Neurospora crassa OR74A: one gene and its partners. The protein of the gene in region 5 purifies or fractionates together with the protein of the main gene of each other region. This does not show direct contact. Links are inferred from orthologs where the notes say so. Each region holds a gene or a part of one and is shown on either strand. Other genes may lie near its edges.

Region 1 (2,832 bases), on a different chromosome or scaffold from region 5:
AGGTCAAGCATACCCAAAACATCTGGTCCATGTTCTTACAGATGCAGATATCGACCTGGATGTGTCGTTGCCTGTCCTCTCCAAGCTGGGGTTCGTCTTTGGGCCAGGGGATAGCAAGGTGTATCGAATTATTACATGGGTTGACTATGGAGCGCTCCGCGTTCAAGGCTGCCTTGATGTCGGCCGCAAGCTCCTCCACCCCTCTGGGAATACAACGCCGGGGAGATGTTGGAAAGACGAGGCGGGTCTCCATGGCCACGAGGATGTCGAGGTCTCCATAGTCCTCTTTCTCGGGGCCCTCGACGGGTCCGGCGACGCACACAAACATAGTGCGTAGGGTAGCGTGGCATGCGGCTTTGACATGATGGTAGATATGGGGCGGCATGCGTGGAGTGTGTAGAGGATCGTTACCCGAGGAGAACATCGAGCCACCCATGTCGCAACGATTTGAGCTATTCGATCGTGAACACTGGAAAAGAAAAGCTTGAAGCTACTGAGCAGAAGTCGATGATGGATCTTGAGAAGGCCTGTTAAGTAGCCGATGGATCAGCAAAAAATCTCGAGTACGAGATGTACGAGGCATAATACATAGGTAAGCCGGCGTCAGTGAAGCGCAAAGCTGCCAGGGTTGCCTTCATCCAAACAAGATAAGGCTAAATGCGTTCAACGTATAGATGGAATGGGCTCGATTGGCCTCGGCCCGTGAGGGATACTACTAAAACAACTGAGATTCAACTTGGAAGCTGAGCGGTGCCCGTTTGCCCAGGTTTCCACCTGCTCGACAACCTGGTCGGCAACCATTCTTCACCATCGTCATCGCTCTTGCAGCTATTCCTGAGCCCTCAGGTTCAAGGTATATCGGCATCTTGTACTCGTCGCCCCTGCCCTCAGATTCCCGAGAACTAATTGCGAAACCATTGCCAGGGAGTGAGATGATATCAATAACAAGATGGGTGGGAACATGGTAGCGGTTCGTTTCCATCGCTCGATTATTCTCCTAAACCATGTATGCACTATGCGAAGGATCTGTGGAAAGGCTGAGCGCTGTCACGGTGTGGCAGTGCCTATACTAATGTCGTAGGTACCTACGTATGTCAAAGCTTCCTCTAGGCGCTGCGGGCCGCCTGCAGGACTTTTGCCTAGGTGCAGTACGGGCCTCACGAACGTTGCCCGTTAACATTGATACCGACCAAGCCCTGATAACCTAACGTGCAAGAGCACCAACAATCGTCAAAAGAAGTACCTCTCAAACAACAAACATTCCTCTTTTCGACATCATCACTCCCTAATCTCACCCTCCCGCCTCAACGAGTGCAGCCGCTCTCATTACTACTCAGTTACTCGCTCAAATAAAGTCAGTCCCCTACCCAGCGCACCCAAGTCTAGAGACGTCGCTCACACTCCAAAGTCGTCCCACCGCTTAATATTCCACCTGCTGACACCTCTCCCAGCCGAGTTCCATCACACCAATCGATCAATTATGGAGAACGGAGCCACGTCTCAAAGTGAGGGTAAAGACCCCTCGGGTTTCCTCAGCGAAATCATCGGTAATCCCGTCACTGTCAAACTGAATTCCGGCGTGGTTTACAAGGGTTAGTAGTAGCTTTCACCTCGTCATTTATTGTCAAACTACTGTTGTCTTGCAACTTCTTCTCTCTCGGCAGACACATGCGGAAACTAACAGGACGCCTGGGTTGTGGCACTGCGTGGTGTAGGTGAACTGCAATCCGTCGACGGTTACATGAACATTGCCCTGGAAAAAACAGAGGAATTCATCAACGGTGTGAAGAGGCGGAGCTACGGTGATGCGTTTGTCCGCGGCAACAACGGTGCAGACCCCCCCCCCCCCCCCCCCCCCCTCTCTCTTCCCCCTTTTTCTTTTTTTCTTCTTCTCTTTTCTACAATGCCAGAGTAGCGTCTAATGTTTCTGTAGTCATGTATATATCTGCGGATTAAGGCGGCATTCCAAGCACAGTTGTGTGAGGGGGGAAGAAGCTATGATGGGACGTGAGCAAGCATTCATCGATGTTGGTACTAGGGAACACACGTGCTCGAAGTCCAGCCGGCTCAAGAGTCAGACTTTCAGCTGTTCCTCCGTGCTCAGGTCAGCAAAACAGACTGATCAATCTCACGTGCAGCAGGGGCAACCGCTCACTCAACAACGGGGCCACGTTTGTCATCACATCACCAAGTACGAACTGGGGTAGTTGTGTTCAAGAACGCAACTTTAGTTATTATAAAGGATCCTCTGTATTACATTGCCTGTTTGAATCAACTGCCGACGCTGGAAGCTGATGATCCGCAAACTCGCCCAGCGCCTTGCTCATCCTCCAAATCTGTCTCGAATAGTAAGATCCGCCAATTATCCCCAACTGCAATGCCAACAAGCAAACAGACCATGACAACAAGACTCATTCGTATTCGTTCACAGCTGTGCTCCAAATCAACCAAACCAGGCCGTCATACCAATGCGATGCTAAATGAAGTAAATGCTCCGTTGTCATGCTGTTAACACACCGACTCTCCTTCCAAGAATTCTTCCGAACCTTATCACAGACAAGAAGACCGTTCATCGTGTTTAGTTAATAGCAATGCGAATGGTTTCGTGCTTCTTGGCCTTGGGAACCGTGATGGTGAGGATGCCGTTGTTGAGAGAGGCGCTGACTGCGTTTTGGTCGACACGACCGGGGAAGTTGAAAGTCCGCGAGAACTCGCCAATGGAGCGCTCAGAGACCCAGTACTTTTCGGCTGGCGCCTTTGGCTTTTCCTCGGTGGTGGGTGCGCTTGCGCGTTGGGCGACTTGCTGATTGTTCTGGTTGTTGGCGCCGGTAG
Region 2 (4,176 bases), on a different chromosome or scaffold from region 5:
TGGCGATCTTCTTCAACTGGGTATCCTCCAACTTCTCACCACCAGCATGTCTCATCTCGAGATCCTCAATAGCGCGGATCTTCTTCTGAAGAGACCTGATCTTCTTCGCATTGGCGCTCTGGGCAGCCGCTGCGGCGGCGTCAACGACTGGGGCAGCCTGTTGAGCAGGGGCATTGGCCTGGCGCACGTTCGAGCGGCTGCGGTGGTTGTTCTGAGTACGGACAGCCAGGTTGTTGCTGCGCGACTGGCTGCGCGAGTGGTGACGCTGGTGGTTGCGATCGGGGCTGCGGCCGTCGACAGACTCGCGGGGAGGGGCAAGACCACCCTCGTTAGGAGTAGTCGCGCCCTCGCCCTGTGCCTGGCCCTCCTTGGCCTTCTTGTTGCGCTTCTTCTTGTTCTTCAAGGCAGTCTTGGACAAGTTCTCATCGTCCACAGCGGCGCCGGGAACAGAAGGTCTCGCTGGCTCGGCAAACTCGGCGCCAGGAATCTGGCGGCGCGGGCGGCCGAACCCATTAGGACCGACCTGAGGCACGCCATTGCTAACCGAGTGGGCGGCACCTCCCTCGTCCTCACGCTTGAAGTGAAGAGGAGTGGAAGAGCCACGGGCGCCGGGCGGGCGGTAGGCACCGACGGGCTTGGAAGGCGTCTTGACAGTGCCAAGGTATGCCAAAGCCGAAGGGTGAGGAGTGGGCACGGGGTGCAGCGGGTCAACGTTGGGAAGGTTGTTAGCAGGAACAGGGCGCCAGATAACGTTGTACAACTCAACCATGTCCTCGTTGTACATGATACCGCCACCAACGTGCCAGAGCTTGATGCCGTTGTCAACACGAAGACGGGGAGAAGTAGTGGCCGTCAAGATGTAACGGCTGTCGGGAGACCAGGTGCAGACACTGGGGTTACCGCTTTCGATGGTGGTGATCTTGCGATAATCCTTCTCAAGGTCGTAAACATCGATCTGACCAGCCAAGTTACCGAAACCGGCAACCAAGGCAAACCGGCCAGTAGGCGAGAAGATGATGGTGTTACGGGGGCCAAGAGGGAAGGAGTGGGTGGCGACGGCACGGTGGTTGAAGATGGTGGTTTTCGCGGGCATGTAGCCGTATACGACACCGAACTCCTTGGAGTTGGGGGACCACGACACATCGTGGATAGGGCCCTCCTTGTCAAGAGTGACGCGAGCGTCGAACGAGCCGTTGGCGCTCAGGAGGTACATGTTGGTCTCGCCGTAGTAGCTTTTGTTGGACTTGTCAACCTCTGTTTGCGCCAGCACAATCAGAGCAGTTCCGAGCTGGTTCCACTTGAGCTGGACTTTGTCGGCCTTGAAAAAGGTCTTTTGCGAAATCGGGCTGGTGAACTGGGGAACGTTGAAGACCTTGACGGAGGCGGGATGTCCCTGTAACCAACAGTTAGACGTTGATATAGAAAAGTGCGATGCATACGGGAGATCAGGTAACGTACCTTGCGCTCTGGGACGAAAACAGCAACGTTCTGGTTCTTACCGGGCGCGAGGGCAAAGTCGGAGACGCCCTCAACGCGCAGCTTGTTCCACACGGTGCCGAGATCGTTGCTGTTGTAGAACTGGACCTCGTTGGTGACGATGCGCGCGCAGAAGCGCTCATCCTCCGTGTACTGCAGGTTCCAGCCATTAGCAGACTTTTGGACGAACTTGCCAATGGGCTGCTTCTCAGCACCATCAGCGAGCTCCTCAATGGTGCGCCAGATCTTGAGATTCTTGGTAGCATCGCCATTCTCATCCTTGGCGGGGCGCTCCCAGGTGCTCAAGTAGGTACCGTGGGGGGAGAAGCTGAGTTCGTAGACGGCAGGGATGGGCAGCGAAGTCAAGACGTGGCCGACGGACGCGTCGACGATGACGACGCCCTCGTTAGTGGCGTAGGCAAAGTAGCGGCCGCATCCCGAGTAGACACAGCACCGGAGATTCCCTTCGGGCTTGGTGAATCCAGGAAGGGCTTCGTAGACAGGGTCGGCATCAAAGACGCCGATGGCCTTCTGGGTTCGGTAGGCGAGCTGCAACGGATTGGCCATGACTAGCGAAAGTCACAGGTGATCGCGGTTTGCAGAAAGCGGTGTGGGATTCGTTTCGTTACCTGGCTCCTTTTCCCGGGGGACTGGAGTCGTCGCTGCGAGCAAGAGGCGGACCTTTTTTTTTCGGTGTTCGAAACGGGTCACGCTTGGTGTCGAAGCTGCGAGAGGCGGAGCTCGTAAGCTTTGGTTGTGTGTTGGCGAAGGCGGAGTTGGGGGAGTATCGATCTGGCGCAACACAACAATGGTGATTGCGCAAAGGTAGAAACTCGACTGGCAGAAGCAGAGCAGAATTCGACAGTGCAACACAAAGCGACGCTTTTTCTTGCTGAGTCCTAGGTGGTGGTGGAAAGCGACTCAGGGACGGGGGGGCGGGAGGCGGAAGATATCAGATCTTGAATCGCAGGTTGCCAACGAAGGGAGACCGTGACGATGGGACAACAATGCGATGTTGCTTTGGACGGCGGCGAGGAACAAAGGGCACACGCCGTGGTGGAGATCCAAGAAGAATAAAAATCGACCGAATTCAGGAACGTGAACGATGAAGAGAAGCACCCTCAGGGAAGGAATTGGCAAAGGCGGTGCGAGTGTGGTTGACGGGGGGGAGAGGAAAAAAGAGGGGAGAGGTGGGTTAGGAGAAAGGGAGGAAAAGTAGGACAATGGAGAATGGCAGAGAAGGTGGACGCGAAGAAAGTTACGATACGGACGCGGTTCCACAGGTATCGTGGTTTCGGTTTTTTTGGTTTTTTTTCCATATCTCTTACCTACACTTTTTTTTTTCTTTTTTTTTTTCTTCCTTTTCTTTCGACATGTCACTGCAGCATCGATATTCAATTGGGCATTGGCACGGGCACTGGCCACCCGACCAAACAGCAGACGGGAGCTAAACAATGTGACGAGGACTGCACTAATGGGCAATATGACCGTAGAATATACACTTAAAAAAACACCTAGAGATAGTCCAGCAAGACGGCGCGGACGAGTTGTTCGCCTTCCGTTTGGGCGATCTCTAACTTTTTTGGAGGCTTTATGCATTTCGAGGTCGCGGCGGTTGTCCGTTCGCTGATTCAGACCTCTGCCACACGGACCTCTATTCTAGATTGGCAGCGGAGGACCTCGAGGGGACCGAACATTGAACAGCGGAGCCCCGCCGTGGGGCCGTGTTCCCTTCAGAGTCTCGGTGACATTCGGTGACAGACGTTAGTGACCGTACCCGTAAGCCCCGTAGGGACCAGGGCGAGCCTATCAGATGTTAACGGGCCCTATCACGGCGGCCAGCCGATCTCCAACACCCCCAACAGGTTGCGGCCCCCGGTGTTCTAGGCTTTGTTGTCCCTTGTTCGAGCCGCGGCAAGGGCCAGTCAGCGGCGCGCCAAGTTACGGCCAAGGCCCCTGCCCGATTTGCCTTTTCGTCAACGTCAACGTCAACGACATAGGACCCCGACGACGCTCAGGACAAGAGACATCGGACCGGGGGCGACGTCCACCACTGCGTTCTCTGCTCAACTTGCCATCCTAACAGACCTGAGGTTATCCATTTTTATGACCTGTTCCATTCAGGTGAGGTTTCGGCACCACTTTACTCGATGCTCTATGGCACGAAAGTTACACCCAAGTGAAACTACCGAACTCCAGCTTGGTCGTTCCTGGAGAACATTTTCAGAATACACGCGCCATCACTTCCGCATGCCCTGCCAAATGGAGGATCTGTGGGTAAAGGTAGTGATACCCTTCTTGATGGCTGGTGCTGTCCTTCATGTTAGGTACCTAGGTCTATTCTACTACCTCTAGGTTCAGACGTCCAAGCAATTGTGATACACATCCTATGATACCAGGAGAGCCACAGTACGGTCCTTTTCGTCTCTTCGCGAGGTACTATACACTCACTACAAACGATCCTACCACGCGGTCCATGTTGTTTGCTTTCCATGTTTTCCGCTTGCCCCCCGTAAACAACGGGCCCTTTTTTTTTTTTTTTTTTTTTTTTTTTTTTTTTTTTTTTTTTTTTTTTTTTTTTTTTTTTTTTTCCTTTCATGTTTCTATCCCTCTATAATGCTGTTTCCCCATATAACACACGGCAGTTGTTTCCAGCTTCAGTCAAAGCACACCAACACACTCTCGCTGAAGCAATCCGGG
Region 3 (3,036 bases), on a different chromosome or scaffold from region 5:
TACCTAGTCCCGGGAGACAGACTTCTCTTCAGAGAAGGCAGAACCAAGGGGTTGGGTATCGTCAAGAGTGTGGGGTATGATCCTGAACGGCCGTTGGGCGGGGTTAATGTAGGTGAAGGGGGTGATAAGGTGGCTGCGGGCGTTGAAGATGTCAAACATGAGGGTGGCGGTAACGAGGTGAAGGTTGGTGCTTAGTGACCTGGCACCTGGTGCTGATTTGGCGTTGGGCAGATGATGTTGTGATGACCCAAGTTGGGGGCCGCGTTACCTTTTTTTCTTTATACTTTCTTTGATGCATGGCCTCATCTCCTCGTTTTGATGGCTCATATACGGAGCGGCGCAGTCAGGGCACAGTACAGAACTAGTGGTGACCCACTACTTGCAGATATTCAAGTAGTAGTAGGAGTAGTAGTAGTAGTAGTATCATGGACGATATGGCTTTTGTATGTGTCGGTGGAAGATGAGTGACCTACAGGTATTCTCAAATGAACATATGAAAATTCTTGAGCAACGTACTGTATTCTTTGTACGAGCGATCCTTTTCAGCCTCCTCAGGAGGAAGGAGATTGCCTGGCTATCAATGCTCCATGGCCGGGAATAACAATGGTATATCTGTGCCGTGATCTATCTTTCGGCTCTAACGACAAACGATGAACGTGATGTGATGACGGTGATAGTCACATCTCAAGCCAACTTCTCTCCTTGTATCTCTCTCCTATCCTCTTCCCGAAGCTTGGTTACCGGTTTCCTTTGTAAGCGCCGCCCCTCTCGACCTTGAGGTAGCCACCACCTAGGTAGGTAGGCTTAGCGACGACCCATGTCCAACTCCCACTGAGACAAACCTTCGGCTGCTGACTGTCCAGAACCCTCCGCCGTTGCCGTTTCCTTTCCCTTCTCTTCCAAATGCTCCTCCTCTTCCCTATCTACCCCCTCCCAAAACTGCGCCTCATCCGCCACGTGCAATAAGTTCCACCTGCCGATGGGCAACCGGTCCTGGCCAAGCGGGCCACCGGAGAAGGGTTTGATGCCGTAGCGGTGGCGGAAATCGTGCTCGTCAACTGGTCGCTCCACATACACGGCCTCTTCTCAAGAACGGGTAAAGGGCGAGATGAGCACGACGGAATCGCCGCGAACGAAGAGCATTTCGGACTTGCGGGAGATGGTCTGCCTTTTTGTTAGTATATGAGAGTGACGGAAAGGGAAAGCAAAAAAGACAAACGAGGTATGAGAAGGAAAGGGGAAGGAGGGTGGGTATAATGGGAAAGGGGTGAGAGGTGGTTTGACGAGAGAGTGGCGGTGGGTAAGTGAAAAGATGGCATACCTTCAGGTCATCCTCCTCGGTATCTTCATCATCCACGACGTAAATGGTCTCTTCGACTTCCCCGAGGACAAGGTTGCAATGGGAGTCGTAGGCCTACATCACAGTATCCGAGTTAGCAATGAGTTCGGGTGGTGGTGAGTGAGGCGTAACGGGAAAGATGTGACGACTGAAAAGGGGATATGTAAACATAAGAGTGGACTTACGTGCAGACGGCCCTTGAGCTCCCGATCACCTCTCAGCTTGACGCAGACAACCTCGTCAAGCAAAAGGCGGACGAGGTCCATGGGCTCGGAAACAGAGCCGGCATCTTCTACTGCGTCGGCCATTTTGTGTGATGTGTGATATCAAAAGAGCCAAAAATAAATAACGAGTGAAGAGAGAGAAAAAAAAATGAAGTTGGCGTTGTGTTCCTGTTGTTGATGGCGGGGACCTCAGCTGCAGCGCCCTGGAACGATGATGAGTGAGTCCAGTGCCAGTGACGGACGGCGGGGGGTTTCCATGCCTGCCCGATTGGAAGCGCTCGCTTCGGTGCGAATTGAGGTCAGTGCCAGCTGGTCGCATGCCAAGAGCAACTGAAGCAGCCCGACGCACTGACCGCTTCCGAAGTGGAAGCTTGACCGGTTCTTAAACGCTTATGCCAGAGCTTCGGCTGGGCAAGGTCTTGGCAGGAACAGGCGCCCAAAGTGACAACAGGCCTTCCCCGGATTTGCAAAGGCGGGCATCGCGAGATCCATCGCACTTCTCCTCTTTGAGTTAGCGGGGTTGACTTACACCTCGACTTCAGTTAGTACCTAGGCACGCCCACCAGGGCACTCAGCTCCCCTTCAACACCACGGCCGAGCTTCAATTGCGGACGAAAGTCGCCAATGGGGGTGGTGTACAACGCCGTCAACCCCAATTTGCAACCCAATGGCTGCCCTTCTCTCCTGTCGTGGGGTTCGAGTTCCTTCTCCGAAATCTCGACGACTAGCCTCCGCCGTCAACAAGCTCCAGAAGCTCCCCCATTCTACGACCCAAACAGCAAAACCCATCTCAGCAATTCCATACCCAGGCAACTTTGCCCACCATGGATTCGGTCACCAACTTGACGGACCTCGACAGCCCCTCGAGCAAGATGAGCTCCTCCTCCTCCGAACCCTTCTCGCAAGACCCGTCGTCGCAAAGAAGCCACCTGTGACAAAACGGTCGCCTTGGATAGACGGCTTCACCGCGGCCTTCAGACAACCCCACAAAATGCTCACTTATTTCAAGGAGAACAAACTCGAGATCCTTCAACTTCCACCAACAGCATTCAGCGAACTTCTCCGCTCCGTTGACCCCGTCGAAGCCGTTCACAAAGACCAAGATCCGTTAGGAGACATATGGGTCGACCCAGCCATGGCCGATTGGTCCCCTTTGGGGGCTCTGGTCAATAATTACGGCGTCAGAAAAAGAAACACCGACCTTTACCCCCTAGTTCACGAAGCTGCCTTTCGTCGATTCCGCTCGGGTTCTCCCCTTCTTTTGTCCGACTACAAAGTCCTGCTGCGATGCGCCGGATCGATTTCGGACCCCCTCTTGGCTCGCAAGATCTGGTTCCACATGAACGTCTCTGAAAAGATGTGGGAGCGCCAGACGGACCTGTATGCCGAATTTCTCAAGGCCCGGTTCTTGACGGAACCGTTGTATACCCAACACAACCGGCATGACTTCCGCGTCAAGCCTGTAAACCTCTT
Region 4 (3,928 bases), on a different chromosome or scaffold from region 5:
ATGGGTCTGGTTCGTTTGGCCGAAACTGTTGTGTTTCTATGTTAGGATGGAACAGGTCAGTCAAGCTCACGGACAAGAGGTGGCGGGCAGTCTAGGTAGAGGCGCGTTGTCGGTTGCTGATGCCATCGTCTTTGTTGTGAACCAGGAACCTGTAATGGAGGCGGCGCGGGGACTTGGCAAATGGGTTTATGAGGGGGTTTCGGGAGCTGTGACGGATTTTGTGGCAATGAAGGTAGCTGAGAGGAGCGGAGGCAGCAACAAGAAGAAGAATGAGGAGGAGAAGGAGGAGGAGAAGGAGGAGGAGAAGGAGGAGGAGAAGGAAGGAGAGGAGGAGGTCAAGTTGAAGGCATCTTGGTGGGAACGATACTTGTGGTAAGCGATCATGAGTACGACAACAGCGGCAAGAATTATTGGGATAGCGGTATCAGATTGGAGGTATTGATTGGGACCTGATTGGAATAAGAATATGCCTCAGACCATCATGTTTACAAATGTCCAGTTTCCCACTTTCTCGGTGTTGAGTACTGTATGCCCATGTGTAGAGAGATCGCCATGAGACGGAACGCAAGAGTGTGACGACTGACCCGACGTTGCGAGATGAGCGGATCTATCTCATGTGAGGCCATGACGGAGACCAATGCTCTGAGAATCTGCTGGACAGATGCCACAGAGCCTGTCGAGAAGTCCAGCTGAGGTACCCTGAGCCGAAACTCGGAGCCGACTGGAATTTCATGTTATTCCGTAGCACGAAGCTGATATGAACACCTTTTGAACCTTTGCCGGCCTCTACAGCGTAGAGAAAGGAGATGCTTGGTGTATCGTTTCCTGCGTAGTGTACATAGACGAATGAGACAAGGACCAGGGAGGACTGAAGTGGGCAAAGGGGGAGGGTCCTGTTCGGCCCCATGTTTTGCGGAGATGATCGCTTTCCAGTGTTCCTGACTAGCGAATGTACCGTAAGGTAGCTCATCCCTATCTGAGGGTGCACAGGTACGCTTAGATACTGGGCCTCAAAGATGGGGCTCGGTGCGGAGTAACGGCTGATAAGATAAAGGCGGCTCATACGACAGGGATCTAACTTCAAGCTTCGACTTCGATAGCATGGAAATTTTTTGCTGTTGCAGGTACCAGGCCCTTAGCCACTTGCGCTCTCTTCCCATCTCTTGTTTTTTTTTCCTACCTTTTCTGCCCATCATTCCCATCACACTCGACGCCGACAACGGTTTGACCGATTTCTCTGGTTTGATTGTCCGCCTCTTATCGTCCCCACCCACAATTAATCCATCAACCCAAGTCGTTGACGGATCCGAGTGTGCGCCGCCATCTTATCAGTCCCGTCCCGTCGCGTCGCTGTAGCCGTCGCCCAACATGAGGACCAGCGTATTGCGCCAGGCCGGCCTCTGCCGTGCTGCCCTCGCTGCCCGCCATCTTCAGATCTCCTCCAAGCCCTCGGCCGCCCTCTTGAGCCAGGTCACCCGCGCCATCGCCGTTCAGTCCCTTCCCTCGGCCTCTCTTCCCCGCTTCTACTCGGCCGAAGCCACTGCCCAAAGCAACACTGCTGCCTCCAATGGCCTCGTTACCCGCTTTGCCGACCTCGCCGCCTTGGGTGTTCATGAGAACGTTGTCCGCGCCATCACTCATGGCATGGGCTATGAGAACATGACCGAAGTCCAGTCTATGACCATCAGCCCCGCTCTCAAGGGCAAGGACATGTATGCCTAGATCCGTCACCTCCATTTCCGCGCTTTAAACAGTTGCTAACGTGAAGCTTCCAGTGTTGCTCAGGCCAAGACCGGAACTGGCAAGACACTTGGTTTCCTCGTCCCTGTGATCCAGAAGATCATCACCCAAGATCCCGACCTCGCCCACAGGTTTGGTGGCAAGAGAGCTCGTTCTGATGACATTCGCGCCATCATCATCTCGCCAACCCGCGAGCTTGCGGAGCAGATCGGAGAGGAGGCTCGTAAGTTAGTCAAGGGAACCGGTATCATCGTCCAGACTGCCGTTGGTGGTACCCAGAAGAACGCCATGCTGTACAAGACCCGTCAGCAGGGCTGCCATATCCTTGTTGGCACACCCGGTCGCCTGAACGATTTGCTTTCCGACAGCCACAGCGGCATCGACGCCCCCAGACTCTCGACCCTTGTTCTCGACGAGGCCGATAGAATGCTCGAAGTTGGCTTCAATGAGGAGCTTCGCCAGATTATCAACTACCTTCCCGATCGCAAGGTTCTTCCCCGCCAGACTCTGCTCTACTCTGCCACCATTCCCAAGGATGTTGTTGGTCTCGCCAGAAGCTACATCGACAAGAACAACTTCGAATTCGTCCAGACCGTCAAGGCCGATGAGGTCCTGACCCACGACCGTATCCCTCAGTACATCGTTCCCTGCAAGGGTTTCGAGAACATTTACCCGGCCATGCTGGAGCTGATCGAGAAGGCACTCAACGAGTCCAGGACTAACCCCGAGGCTCTTCCTTTCAAGGCCATCGTCTTCTTGCCTACTACCGCTGAGGTTATCATGGCCAATGCGATCTTCAAGCGCCTTCAGTGGAAGTTCAAGCACATTCCCAAGACTTGGGACATCCACTCCAAGCTCACTCAGAACGCCAGAACTCGTGCCGCCGACGAGTTCAAGAACGCGCGTACCGGTATCCTCTTTTCCTCGGACGTTACCGCCAGAGGCATGGATTTTCCCAACGTTTCCCACGTCATCCAGACCCACATCCCCCCCAACAGGGAGCAGTACATTCACCGTCTCGGACGTACCGGCAGAGCCAACAAGCCTGGCCAGGGCTGGCTTATCGTTCCCGACATCGAGCTCCACGCGGCGAGAAGCAGACTTCCCGGTCTCCCTATCAAGCGTAATGACGAGCTCGAGTGCGCTTCCGTCAACGCCGCTGATTCCGGTGCTGACAAGCACGCCAACTTCCAGCACATCCTTGACGCGGCGTCCAGACTCCCTGAGGACCTCTTCAAGGACTGCTACTCGTCCTACCTCGGTGGCGCTCTCCAGGGCATTGATCGCCAAGCCTTGGTCTATGCTCTCAACGACCTCGCCAAGTTTGGTTGGGGCTTGGAGGAGCCTCCTGCCGTCCGCCAGAGCATCATGAAGCACATGGGCCGTGTTCAAGGTCTGAGAGTCGAAACCAGAGAGCATTCTATGCGCCCCATGGGTAGCGGACCTGGCCACCGCCGTGATTTCAACTCGCGCGGCCCCCGTCGCCAGTCCGATGATCCCTTCGAGAATGCCCTTCACAGGGCTCAGGATCTCGATCGCCGTCCCACCCGTCGCCAGCAGGCCAGCTTCTAAACTAAGAGCTGGGTCAAACTGTGCATTGGCGACGAATGGGTTATTTGGTTTTTCCCGCTGAAAGAAGATGCTTGCGGGGTTTTGTCTGCTGAGCGAGACAGACACCTTCTCAAAAACCGTGGTATCGGGTCCCCCATGTATTTCCTTTCCGTACTGTTCGACATTGATACCATCTGTACTATAGCATAATTATCACGGGAAAAGCAAGGCCGGAGTTTCTTTTTGTTTCCATACATTGGGGTGGCTTGTTGTCTATGGAAATGTTATGATAGACAGCGCGGGCAACACACAAAAGAGGGGTAGTACAGTCTTTTTTAGTTCCGTGGTCACAAGAGAGGAGAAGAATTTTTGTTCAAGAAATGGGACTGGGACTGGGGCACACCTAGACATATTCGGGACTGGAGCTGGGGGGCTGGGGGCGTACTTCTGATTTTCATTTGTATAAGGAAAAGAATTGGGGCCATCTCGACTTTAGAAGATTTTCGTTCACTGTTTTTGAAAATTCCATCATGACATATTCACTGATCTCTTCGAGTTTCAACATGAATCGCACATAGACATTTTCGTGTTGTAAGATGCGAATCCTGGTAGCATGCTCCGATATCTGTCCGTTGAT
Region 5 (4,007 bases):
ACTTGAGTGCGACGCCAAAATCGTTCCTCGACTTCTCAACGTCCGAGAGAAGTTCGTTCTTGGGGCCCATTGCTGCAAGCAGCCGCTTCTCGTCAATGAAGGGAATCTTGACAACGGCTTCCCAATCCATCTTCTTGCCATTCATGTCAAGCTCAAAGTCTCTTGGGTAGAAGTCGATGATGGGAGAATTGGGGTTTGTCATAAGATCCCAATATGCTGTCGGCACGATCTTTTTGCTGCGGTCTGGCAAGACACCCATCAGCTGCTCGTATGGCTTGAACGGCTGACCCATCTTGAAATTAAGGTCGGCTTTCAGGCCTTTCATGACATCGGAAATCAGGGGAGCGTAGTGGTAGCGATAGAACCAGGGCCAAGAAGCAATACCACGGTAGTAGTAGTAGAGCACCCATTGAAGACCCTGGACGTAATTCTCCGTCAACTTGCGGAGTTCGTCCTCCTTGTTCTCTGGGGTCCAATCCTCAAACTTCTCGGCATAGTACTTGTCTTTCCACTCTTGGAACTTTTGCTGGTATTTAACCTCCATGGCAGCCTTCGAGTCGGCCGCAGTTAAATCCAGGACTTGGGCGTTGTCGTACTTCTTGATGATACGGAGAACGGCTGACTGGGCTTCCTCGTCCTCTTCCGACTCGTCGTCTCTCTCGGGGAAGGACAGGATTAGGTGGCGGTGTCCCTCGTCATCTTCCTTAGTTGCCCAAGGAATGTGAGCAGTATCAGCCAAGTCTTGGACAAACTTGCGGTCCTCGGCCTTCAACTCGGTACCGAGGTCAAGCGTATTAGTGCTCCTATTCATAAGGAATTTCCTGATCTTCTGCTTCCAGAGATTCTTCTGGTTCGTGGTGACGATGAGCTTGCCCTTGGTCTTTGCCTTTGCTGTCTCTGCCTCGTTATCTTCAAGCATCTTCTTGGCCCGAAGCCAGCTTTGATCCTCATGTTCATGTTCGAAAAAGCGATACTCCTCCTTGCCGAGTTCTTCCAGAAGCAGGCCGAGTCTCTGGAGGTTGACCTTACCGCCCTCGTTGATATATCCGTCGCCGCGCGGAAGAATTTCTTTGTAGATCCTAAACATGAGCGAAAGAGCGCCTTCATTGATGTGAAGCCGCGGAAGGTTGGGAAGGAAGTCGTTTCCGACAAAGAATGCCATAAGAATGAAGTCGTCAATAACTTTTTCCATATCGAATGGAAAAGACATGGCTCCAGGTTTCTTGAGATCCTGGAACTCCAGCTCCAGGTACTCGCGGACTATGCAGAGATGCATCAAATAGAAGTTTTGCTCCTCCAGTCCCTTTGCCTTATGCTTAGACGGGCCGCGGCCAAAGGTAACTTCCTCGCGCAGAAGGCAGAAGTGAGGGTCATGGCTGAGGAGGCCAAGCATGATCAGATCGGCGTCGAGGCCATACAAACAGTGACGGACGTTCGCGTCATAGTCGAGTTGAGCGCGCGCATTGCGGATGTACTCCATGATCTTGTGCTCACCCTCACCAGGGACCTCGTGTCCAGACAAGACAATCTCGGGCTGTTGCCAGTCCCTGTCTTCCGAGACCTTTTTATGGATGAAATATCTCAGCTGTTGCGAGAGCTTGGCCATGAATTCGGTTCCTATGCAGCTAGTTAGCCTCCGGGGAAAACATTCAAGCGGGCACCAGCGCCAGACATACCAGGTGTGATGCAGTTACTGTCGAAAGGTTCTTCTTTGGGCAATTCCTTGCCCTCACGAATCGCCTTATCTCTAGCCTTCTCATTGTCCAGCGCGGTACGAAAACGACGAGCACGCTGTTGGTTCATCTTTGCGCGAGGGGCAACGCCATCTATAGCCATAAAGAAAAGCTTTTTGGGCTTGATTTTCCCGAAGAGATGTTCGATGTAGTTGAATATAGCAATGAACATCTCCTCCTCTGTCATGCGAAATTGTACATCGCTCGTGTCCTTATGGGTACAGTTGTGGATGATACCGTTCATGTCCAACTGAGCAAACCGGTTAGCTAGGCAAGTAACGCAAGACAGCCATCAGGCCTCGGGAGGGAGCAGCGAACATAAAGGCAGTCGAACTCGGGGATACGGTTCTCGGCGATGAGCTGAGAAATGGCGGGATACCGCTCCGAGAGCCATCTGAAGAACTTGGGAACACTGGACAAGAGGGGGTATTAGCCACACGCCTGAACAACGCGCGCGTATACGGCGAGGGAGGAGCTTTGATGTGGGAGTCATATACCCCATGTTGACTAAGTGGCCTGTGGTGCCGGACTAGATGTGTACACTACTAGAAGTTTGCGAAGGAGGTCTGAAATTGGGGCGCGCTGAGCGGTCGCAGGAGATGTCGCAGACGGGGAGTCTACTTAGTTACTGCTGTCAGGGGGCGAAGGAGAGGCGTCAAGCTGGTCGTTCAAATGCCGGCACTGAATAATAATGGCCGGGTTTCTAGATAGCGAAGCCTCCAGGGATCGCAATGGTGCAATAAACCGAGGGGGGACGAAGCAGCAAGGTCCAAGACTGAAGATGCTGTCTATGGAAGGGAAGAAGAGGAGTGTCCTTGGAGCAACCGACAGCGCCAATCGGGAAAAGAAGCTACTATAGTGCTAAGAAAAGCGGAAAGGTTGAGAATCCGAGGAGTGGCCTAGGACGTTGGCGGCCTATGTTCGAGATAGACGGAGGTAAAGGAAGAAGTGGGTGATGTCTACGAGATGGAACCGCAAGAGAAACAAAAGTGGAAGGTCCGTCAGAGGTGTGGATGGGACGGAGAAGGTGTCGGGTCCTGGGCTCCGGGCTGGCTAGGTGTTCAGGCTGTGACACACTGCAGTTTCTAGTTGGCCTCCGTTGCCCCACGCGGGTTGACTGTGTGCCTGGGGGCGGCGTGAGCGTCGGTCGTAGAGGTAGAGGTACCTCTAGAGCTAGGTACTAGCGCTCGGCCCGGCCAGGCCAGGCCAGTAGTGAGCGCTCCGCCACCTCATCAGGCTCCCGGCTGTCACTGTCAGCTCTCTCCCCGCACCAGCTACTACTGAACCTCAAGGTAACGAACCTCAAGCGAGCCTCCGCCCTCGACGAGCGGAACGGAACTGCCCTGGAGGGAATGGGGGGTCTGACAAAAGTGGGCGTAGCAGGCCTTTATAGTATAAAACGCTTGAGCAGGGGTTGTGGGCTACAACATCCTTACACAATATTGTTTCTTACTGTAATCTACTAGATAATTGAATATTGTTGTATTGAAGTTGGTTTTATTTTACAATACGTAGTTTTAATTAATAGTACAACGACTATTAACGCGGTATTGTATACAAAACGGAATTAACCGTTCAACAGCGCACAAAAGTACGACAACAGCGAACTGTACCACAACAATACGACCCGAACTACAAAATATACAACATAATAAATATACTCACTTAAATTGCTAATTGCAAGCTAATATTCTTATTAATATAATAATTGTTTAATTATATTTATTTATTCAACAATTAATATCTATTCTAAGTAACAAAAGCCTTACAATTATTTCACAGCAATTTTCAATCAATATTACACTTATATTGATAGAGGTAGGTAGTAGGGGAGAAAGCGCTATATTAAATTACTTATCTAAGCTACCTAAGTGGCGGGTATTCTTTATAGAAGTAATTCCTATTATTCCCTTTCTAATAATTGTAAATTAAAACTCTAACCTAGGTATATAAGAAAATTAGAGTACGGGTACCGTATAGGTAGCCAATAAGAATATTCACCTCAGGCTACCCCAAATACGCCTCCTTTAGGACTATTTCGATATAATAGTATAAAATATATATTCCTTAATATAAATATAACAATAAGAAAGTATAACGAAAAAAAAATAAAAAACTTTAATTCCGGCTCTAAATAAAGACAACACATGAAACTAGTTGTAAATAATAACCTAAGGATAATAATATAAAAAAAGAAAAAAAAAAAAAAGAAAAAAAAAATAACCTAAGGAAGATCGAGGGGTACTATAGCCCAATACGCATATAATTACAAGC
Region 6 (4,090 bases), on a different chromosome or scaffold from region 5:
GCGGCGTTGAACTGGATGTCATCAGTTGTAACCTGAGCTTCTCGGACAACGTCGAGTTGGTCGAGATTCACGACAATGCGTGTGAAAATGGTAATTCTTTGCTCGTGGTTCGTGTGACGGAAGATGCGCGGTATGGCTTTCTTGCCCTTACTGTAACTGAGAAGGGCCATGAAGGGGTGGATGCGGCCTGGCTGGTCGTGATCCTGCACCCTCAGAGCCTTCCAAAGCTGCTCATTCAACGCCTGTCCCTCGTTACTCCATGCAAAGACCTTGGCAAGAGCTTCTTGATCGTCCTCGGCAGGCGCCATAGGCATGTTGCGTTCGTGGTCTTCCATCTTCATAAGTGTAGTGTATACCAGCTCGAGGGCCCTCAGTTCGTCCTTCTTGTCCCGGCCATTAACAGGATGCGGTGCCTTCTTCACATCGCTGGCGCTGTCGTTACGCTTGATGTTGAGAAGCGGCTTCGGGGTCTTGGCGTTGCTGAAGGAAATCTTGCCCAAGCTACCTTCAATAACAAGCTGCTTATTCTTGGGCTTGTTCTTGGCCGCCTCAACAGCACGCTGGACCTGTTGTTCCATCCTCTGCATATGGTTTTCAGGACCCCTGTTATGGCGGCGCATACCTCCTTGACGGCTTCCTGTCTGAAACAGATAAGTCTGAGCGAACTGGTTCAGAGGCTGGCTGGGGTGCTGGCGATGGCCAGCCTGGATCTGACTATGGACTTGATAGTAAAAGTCCTCGGCGAGTGACTCGTCTGTGCCGTGTTCATTGGGATTTCCAGTGGCTGCGACAAGCTGCTGAAGCTGGATCCGGGTGATGAAATTCTTGTCCTGTGGCGTCATGATACCATTGTCGCGAGACATTTGGAAGATCTTGTGGTTGCGCTTGGCGCGCTTAGCTTCCTGTTCAAGATACGCAGCCTTTTCCTCCTCCGAGAGCTGAGCCAGCTGGGCAGGATGAAGAATCATAGGGGGCTGTCGCGGAAGAGAGCCTTGTTGCCTGTGGCCCTGGTGAGCGGACTGAGGACCGGACGGAGGCGTAGGGTGAACAGGCAGCCCGATCTTAGCCGCGTCGCCTGAAAGACGGTTGGGGTTCTGCAGGATCTGAGTAGGCTGCTGAGGAACAGCGGGTTGCTGATGCTGTTGAATAGCGGGCGGTTGGGAAGAGGGCTGGGCTGGCGTAGGAGGCTTCGAGTGAGGCCGCTGAAGAATTGTCATGGGATGTCCCTGCGGTTGATGGTACAGAGGTTCAACGACACCGGCTTGGAAGTGAGCCTGCGGCTGGTTCTGAGCTTGGTGCTGGTAGAGGTAAGCCTGTTCATGTGGAATTTGATGGGGCTGATGCTGAGGAGCGGGAGATGGGGTGGCCGCCTTAGCCTGGGCGCGCATCTGAGCCTCAACCTCCTCAAGACTCAGCATCTTGCGGCCCCCAGACGGCGCGCTAGGGACGGCAGGTTGAGCAGGCGGCGGCGGTTGCTTCTTGGGTGCGACACCCCAGAGAGCAGCGTCAACCTGAAGATCCTCGATCGGCTGCTCGTGGTATTTTTCGTAGCCGGTCCTGGCAGGTCTAACTGGAGCCTGCGCGAAATAGTTGTACGAGGGTCCGGCGATGGGCGTATAGGCCGATGGCTGCGCGACAGGCTGGGGAGCCTTGGCAGCTGGTTGTTGGCGGTTGAAACGAACATTTTCCTCTTCAATGACGTTCGCGACCTTGGCGGTGTGGCCAAAGAAGTCAAAGTCTTTGCCTACAGGACCCGGCTCGCCAGTATCGCCGCCAAAAGTATCATCATTGAAGGCATCGTCGGTCTCATCCAGCTGGTCACCCAAGCCGTCATAAGTGTCCTCGAAGTCGATCTCTTCGGCTTCCTCGTCCCGGTTGGCTAGGCTGGCAAAGGGATCGTGAGCCTGGGAGAAGCCGGGAGCGGCGGTATTATGGCGAGACTGGTCGAAGTTGAAGAAAGACATATTGGCGATGCCTGTTGGGTTTATGGAAAATTTCTACAGAGGTATCACTATTGTAGGGTCAGTATACGTTGAGCGAAGAAAGATCGTTGCGGCGCAAATCCGGGTGCGATGTTGAGCTTTGGCTGATTGGCAAGGGCACAGAGGAAAATGAGGGGCAAAGCAAAAGACGAGACCCTGGTTGGTGAGTGGGACGAGAAGTATAAAGAAGGAACAGCCGTGACGCAGGTTCACGAAGTTCTGGGTGGAAGGGGAAACAGGAAGGGCTTGAAGGTCCAGTGGTCAAACAGCCCGAGCCAAGCAGAGGGGCGACTCGATGGATGTTCCACCTAGCTGGGGGTGGTGAGCTGTCTCTTGAAGCGCGGGGCAACAACAACGACATGGAAGATGGAGAATTGGGACATGGGAGCCCAACTTTCATCCCATGACCTTGCCATACCGAGGTTGCAAGCACGCTGTAGAGAAATCAAAGAACAACGTACAGAACGATATGTAAAGATGTTGGTATGATCGGTTTGGTCAAGCACCATGATGCTGCGATGCGCGACGTGAAGGGAAAGGAGACGTGTCGACGGCGGTGCGACTCGTGCAAAGGAGCGGAGCAGAGCTTGTCAGGGCGGCAACAAATACTCAGCGCTCGGCTTGGAAATATTAAAACAGAGAAGCAAAGAAGGCTGTGAACTAACGACCGGAAGCGCAACTGGGTGCGCCGCGGTGAAGATGTGGATGCGGTTGCTCGGAGTGGTAGCTTGATGGCAGCGCAAAAGGCGACAAGAGACCGACGCAGATGGATGAAGTCAGGCCAACTCCAACTCAGAAGCCAGATCAGGGAGCTGTGGACCAATCGCCCCCGAGGGCCAATGGAGCCTGGCAACAGGTGGGCGGGCGGCGGTAGGCCTGACGCTTTGACACACCACCCTCCTGTCTTGCCGTTCGTTGACTGACGATGGGACTTCCAAGGCCGCGGCCGGGGGAGTGATTGCCACGGTTGGGCGGCAACCAGAGGCCCATTGCCTGCCGGGCTGTGGGATCCTCAACCGCCGGCAAGAATGTCCATTCCATCCTTCCAGTCTTGCAAGTTGTTTTATCCGATGAGCCAATCGGCGATACCCGCCCGCTAGTTGTGATGCGTAACAGTGATCAACTGGAGGCTACAACATGAGACCCGGACGGGACGGCAACCTCATGGTCAACATTTAACGCCAAGCCGACAACCAAATTTCAAGCTCGAGATATCGATTTTGGCAAGAAAGCTGAAGGGCAAGGACAGTAGCTCAGGCATCCATTTTGCTGCCGTGACATCCGTGACTAAACGCAGCTGTTTAGACTGTGCTTCTAAGTATGTGAATTCGCCATTCCGATGCAGGTGAAGCGGAAGCGCGGACATGGACAGAGGCAAACATGGCATGGCTATCTTAAGGCTGTTTTCTTGACAGGTGACTTTACTGTACATAGTATGCAGTCGAACTTGAATTATATCAGGGGCCTGGTATTTCCCTGTTGTTTCTTTTGAGAGGGAGGTATCATGGCCATCACTCAAGTCGGTGTTCTTCGCCATCTTGAAGAACTACTCCGATCGGAGGAGCAATGCGGAGGGAGCAGGCCGGCAGCAGATCATATTAACCCAAGTATCATAGTATGAGCTAATCAGCCACTTCTCAGCGTGGTAAAAGGATCAAGAAGCTCAAGACATACCCCTCCGTTGACGGATGCGACATGTGAACTGAAGTCGTCGTAGAGGTAGGTAGTGCCCCTGGAAGTTGACGACGCCCGTCTCAAGGGGGTTTTTGTCCCTTACTAACAGGGCCACGCTAGAACCGTCACGGCCCGCAATAATGGGGTACCTGCGGATACAGGTGACGACGAAGCTGTGGGGGCACCGAGGGCACCCTAATGTCTTTCCCTGCCGCCTACCCCCGCGGCCAATCTTTTGGTCCTGGCCGGACGGAAACATTGAGGTGCTCAGGGGAATGCACCGCAAGCGACCATCAGGAACGGGGAATGCGATAGCTTCTGGTAGGTATGTAGATATTATTTAGGCCACTTGCGGACGTTGCTGAGGATGTTGTAGGTAGATACCGACACTTTTGGGATGTTTTCATTACAGGCTAGTTCGCACCTAACTACCT
Region 7 (3,007 bases), on a different chromosome or scaffold from region 5:
GCTGGTACAACTTCAGTTTACCCACCACGCCCAACCATACATTCATGGACGACTTCACAGATTTATAGTGGTGGACTTACGAAAGACCTAGTGATGGCCTACAGCCAGCCCAACCCAGCCCACAACGACATCTCCCAGCGGCTTATACAGAACCCTCAGTGGATCAACGTGAGGTACATTGGATTTCCCTATTCCGACCGAAACAAGTTCAACCCCCCCTTTGTTGGCATGTGGAACGCAACCCCCGCAGCAGGTGGTTGAGTACTTGCTGCATATCATCTTTCAGTTTGATGATGCTGGGTAATCGGTTGGTTGGTCATGAGTGCCAACGCCTCATTTCCCGAGCTCGGCGTAGTTATCGATGATGGCGGGTGGGTGGGAGGATGTTGAAGTCGATGGGTTTGTGCCGGCTATGTGACTAGTCCTAGGAAAGAATGTTAGTCGTGGATATCTCTCTGGGCTATCCTTTCCCAACATGATCATAGTCAGTAGTGGCCAGGTTCGATTCGAGGCAATCCATCGAATTGCTAATTTTCTAACGGTAAAATACACTTGGTGTCTTCTTGGGCCGACCTTGGTGTAAGGCTTCATGCGGTCTTCCATTCGTATGAAGTCGCAGCTGAGTGGATAGCATTTCACAATATTCTGCTTCCAATCGCTCATGCCATTCCCTCCTTCGACACTCCCTTTCCACTTCAGGGGTATGTAGGTATAAATCATAACAAGTTAAAGTTTTGGTCGTCTCTCCTCCCGTCTCTTTCTTTCCGTCCCATTTGTAAAATTTGAGGGTGATTCATATATCATTCACAGAAGCGCCTCGCCTACGTTCTCCCCTTCGAAGCCAATGGTGGAAAGCTTCTTGATCTTGCGCTTCTCCTTGGCCTTCTCCTCGGCCTTTTTCTGCTTGGCTAGTGTCTGCACCAGTTCGAGGTCGGCAGGGTCGTAGCCCGGGGGCGGGTCGTCGTCGCGGTCAAGGTCGATCTCGCCCATGAGGAGAACGTTCTCGCCGCGAACAACGAAGAGGCCCCGGTCGACGTCGGCGTAGAGCCCCCTGGTCTGGGTGGGTGACTGCGTGCCTGGAGGCACGAATATCCTCTCCTTTGTCTGTTGTAGTACTAGGTTGGCTAGTATGGTGGGAAAAAAGTGGATTCGCGTTAACACAGCTACCTCTTCATACTCGTGCTCGTTCGTGCGTGCGTGTATAGGTGGTCATGTGTTGTAAGAGAGAGGTAGGTTCATGGAGGCATACCAAACTGATCCCAACTGCGGAGGATGCCCGTGAGCTTTCGTCCGTCGCGCAATGCTACCATTAGCTTCTCTGTTGGTACCCCGCCGCTCGTGTCAGCCTAGTTCCTCCCGTCCAAAAGATATGTCCACAATATTGCTTCTTACTATCGGTCAGGTCGAGGAGTTGGGCAGCTGTGGTGAACATTTGCGCGGGCAACTGCTGGGGCTGGGGAGGACGGCCGCCTCCTAGGAGTCCCGGCGGGGGCATGCCGGGTCCAGGCTGGCCGGGGCCCTGAGGGAAGGGCGGCGGTGGGGGTTGATCGTTTATCGAGAGGTGTTCCATGGTTGTGTGCTGAAGATGGCCTATGTCTTCTAGTCCATCTGTAAAGTTTCGGGGGGTGTCTTCAAGGTTGTTGAATGGGAAGCGGGATGCAATGATGCGATGGGACAGCTGCCCGCCCTGACGTTGCCTGCCCGCACATACTACTACCTACCTACTGCGTACATACCTACCTTAGTACATAGCTGCTGCCCTGGGCTGCCCTGGGCTTGCTCCGCTGTTTGTGCAGTTCACCCCACTTTCACGGTGAGAGGCAGCGACGAGAAGTGTGTTCCTTGAAGGACAGCCCGAGTCGCACAGATCTTTTTACCACTCTACTTACACGGCTCCTGCCATAAGCTTTTAGTGGATGATTCCAGCTTCCTTCCGGCAGGCAATTTGCGTATATGTACATGATACAAGTCAGCCACATCGCAGGTTGAGCCACAAGACGGAGCGAATCTCAGCTTTATCCACTTCAGCAATCAGCTCGGCTCATACAAACCTATCGCTGCTTCCTGCGGCAGACTGCTCTCGCTTAGGTACAGCGCCTGTGCGGTGGAGCTTCCATGATCACCGGACTGTATGTCTAGTCAGTAAACACTGCCAGGGCAAGGTGAAACCAAGCGCTGTGCAGCAACCTACAGTATTATTCAACCCGGTGGCCGGACAATGAGCCGACGGGACCTGCACTGACCTCCCTGTGCTGGTTTGCCTGTACCTACCTAGGTAGTGCCGCACTGCATTCTCCGGTCCTTCTGCTTCGGCTCAACCTGCTGTCAACCCCATTTCATTCTGCCACTCCATATTTCTCCATCTGCACCATACGTACCCTCGCTGTCGACAATTATACACAAAAGATCCCATGAGGACTATGTCCAAACCCGCTTCGACCACCAGAAGCCGTTCCTTTTCTCTCGCCCTTGCGCTGTAACCATTCTGCGCGCCCGTCCATCGGCGGACGAGGGCAGCTCTCTTCCCGTCGTCCAGTCGACTTTGACTTACTCGTCCTCTAGCCTCAAATCTCTGCACTGGGGCTCTCTTTTTTCCGCCCACCAGCCTCGCCTTGAGGTTTGCCTCGCCTGGTCTTACCTGGTCCGGATACAATAAAAAAGCAGGCAACCAAGAAACATATTTACGAGGACCCCCCTTTCGCCATGGCTTCTACCGACGTTACCATGGCCGACGCACCTTCCGGGCGGCCTGATCGCCGCTCCAACGCTTCTCCTCCTCCCGGTCAGTCACAGTCACAGTCTAAGAGAGACAAGCGACGCCAAATGCTTGCCGAACGCATTGCAACCCTTTCCGACAAATGGAGCAAGGACAGAGACCAGGCCTTTCGCGAACAACTACAAAAGATTCAGATTGACACCAGTCTGGTCATGCGAGTCGACCCCTATGTCGATCGACCTTTGGACAGCTTCGAAGAGGATCAGAGACGACTCAACCAGCTCAATGGCG

The links.
Region 1: the proteins of NCU06678 (region 5) and NCU10352 purify together in Saccharomyces cerevisiae (affinity purification with mass spectrometry; 5 studies listed by BioGRID). This does not show direct contact. The link is inferred for Neurospora crassa OR74A from reciprocal best matches to the Saccharomyces cerevisiae genes XRN1 and LSM6.
Region 2: the proteins of NCU06678 (region 5) and NCU06099 purify together in Saccharomyces cerevisiae (affinity purification with mass spectrometry; 5 studies listed by BioGRID, with this or other methods). This does not show direct contact. The link is inferred for Neurospora crassa OR74A from reciprocal best matches to the Saccharomyces cerevisiae genes XRN1 and YGR054W.
Region 3: the proteins of NCU06678 (region 5) and NCU09512 purify together in Saccharomyces cerevisiae (affinity purification with mass spectrometry; 6 studies listed by BioGRID, with this or other methods). This does not show direct contact. The link is inferred for Neurospora crassa OR74A from reciprocal best matches to the Saccharomyces cerevisiae genes XRN1 and LSM3.
Region 4: the proteins of NCU06678 (region 5) and cyt-19 purify together in Saccharomyces cerevisiae (affinity purification with mass spectrometry; 3 studies listed by BioGRID, with this or other methods). This does not show direct contact. The link is inferred for Neurospora crassa OR74A from reciprocal best matches to the Saccharomyces cerevisiae genes XRN1 and MSS116.
Region 6: the proteins of NCU06678 (region 5) and NCU06540 purify together in Saccharomyces cerevisiae (affinity purification with mass spectrometry; 8 studies listed by BioGRID, with this or other methods). This does not show direct contact. The link is inferred for Neurospora crassa OR74A from reciprocal best matches to the Saccharomyces cerevisiae genes XRN1 and PAT1.
Region 7: the proteins of NCU06678 (region 5) and NCU01601 purify together in Saccharomyces cerevisiae (affinity purification with mass spectrometry; 6 studies listed by BioGRID, with this or other methods). This does not show direct contact. The link is inferred for Neurospora crassa OR74A from reciprocal best matches to the Saccharomyces cerevisiae genes XRN1 and LSM1.

Annotation. Positions count from the first base shown.
Region 1 is NC_026501.1:3,587,561-3,590,392, reverse strand, and holds NCU10352 (U6 snRNA-associated Sm-like protein LSm6), read left to right. Parts: upstream 1-1,263; 5' UTR 1,264-1,354; intron 1,355-1,451; 5' UTR 1,452-1,480; coding exon 1,481-1,592; intron 1,593-1,715; coding exon 1,716-1,829; intron 1,830-1,933; coding exon 1,934-1,956; 3' UTR 1,957-2,332; downstream 2,333-2,832. Other genes in the region: NCU09363 (hypothetical protein), read right to left, coding at 14-436; hsp30 (hsp30-like protein), read right to left, coding at 2,579-2,832. UniProt on the Saccharomyces cerevisiae protein: Component of LSm protein complexes, which are involved in RNA processing and may function in a chaperone-like manner. Component of the cytoplasmic LSM1-LSM7 complex which is involved in mRNA degradation by activating the decapping step.
Region 2 is NC_026507.1:1,796,984-1,801,159, forward strand, and holds the start of NCU06099 (hypothetical protein), read right to left. Parts: upstream 2,801-4,176; 5' UTR 2,044-2,800; coding exon 1,459-2,043; intron 1,394-1,458; coding exon 1-1,393. UniProt on the Saccharomyces cerevisiae protein: Functions in the early steps of protein synthesis of a small number of specific mRNAs. Acts by directing the binding of methionyl-tRNAi to 40S ribosomal subunits.
Region 3 is NC_026503.1:55,582-58,617, forward strand, and holds NCU09512 (U6 small nuclear ribonucleoprotein), read right to left. Parts: upstream 1,812-3,036; 5' UTR 1,648-1,811; coding exon 1,525-1,647; intron 1,415-1,524; coding exon 1,322-1,414; intron 1,165-1,321; coding exon 1,087-1,164; 3' UTR 501-1,086; downstream 1-500. Other genes in the region: NCU09513 (GTP-binding protein 1), read left to right, coding at 1-195; NCU09511 (hypothetical protein), read left to right, coding at 2,231-3,036. UniProt on the Saccharomyces cerevisiae protein: Component of LSm protein complexes, which are involved in RNA processing and may function in a chaperone-like manner. Component of the cytoplasmic LSM1-LSM7 complex which is involved in mRNA degradation by activating the decapping step.
Region 4 is NC_026504.1:2,294,457-2,298,384, forward strand, and holds cyt-19 (CYT-19 DEAD-box protein), read left to right. Parts: upstream 1-1,128; 5' UTR 1,129-1,368; coding exon 1,369-1,712; intron 1,713-1,775; coding exon 1,776-3,312; 3' UTR 3,313-3,837; downstream 3,838-3,928. Other genes in the region: NCU07671 (hypothetical protein), read left to right, coding at 1-376. UniProt on the Saccharomyces cerevisiae protein: ATP-dependent RNA helicase required for mitochondrial splicing of group I and II introns. Specifically involved in the ATP-dependent splicing of the bl1 intron of COB. Also required for efficient mitochondrial translation.
Region 5 is NC_026505.1:4,232,173-4,236,179, forward strand, and holds the start of NCU06678 (exonuclease Kem1), read right to left. Parts: upstream 2,801-4,007; 5' UTR 2,236-2,800; coding exon 2,231-2,235; intron 2,146-2,230; coding exon 2,052-2,145; intron 1,984-2,051; coding exon 1,677-1,983; intron 1,618-1,676; coding exon 1-1,617. UniProt on the Saccharomyces cerevisiae protein: Multifunctional protein that exhibits several independent functions at different levels of the cellular processes. 5'-3' exonuclease component of the nonsense-mediated mRNA decay (NMD) which is a highly conserved mRNA degradation pathway, an RNA surveillance system whose role is to identify and rid cells of mRNA with premature termination codons and thus prevents accumulation of potentially harmful truncated proteins.
Region 6 is NC_026504.1:1,578,099-1,582,188, forward strand, and holds the start of NCU06540 (topisomerase II associated protein), read right to left. Parts: upstream 2,801-4,090; 5' UTR 2,444-2,800; intron 2,012-2,443; 5' UTR 1,965-2,011; coding exon 1-1,964. UniProt on the Saccharomyces cerevisiae protein: Activator of decapping that functions as a general and active mechanism of translational repression and required for P-body formation. First decay factor recruited to mRNA, at a time when the mRNA is still associated with translation factors.
Region 7 is NC_026502.1:2,980,984-2,983,990, forward strand, and holds NCU01601 (hypothetical protein), read right to left. Parts: upstream 1,835-3,007; 5' UTR 1,571-1,834; coding exon 1,393-1,570; intron 1,319-1,392; coding exon 1,250-1,318; intron 1,125-1,249; coding exon 805-1,124; 3' UTR 501-804; downstream 1-500. Other genes in the region: NCU01599 (hypothetical protein), read left to right, coding at 2,704-3,007. UniProt on the Saccharomyces cerevisiae protein: Component of the cytoplasmic LSM1-LSM7 complex which is involved in mRNA degradation by activating the decapping step.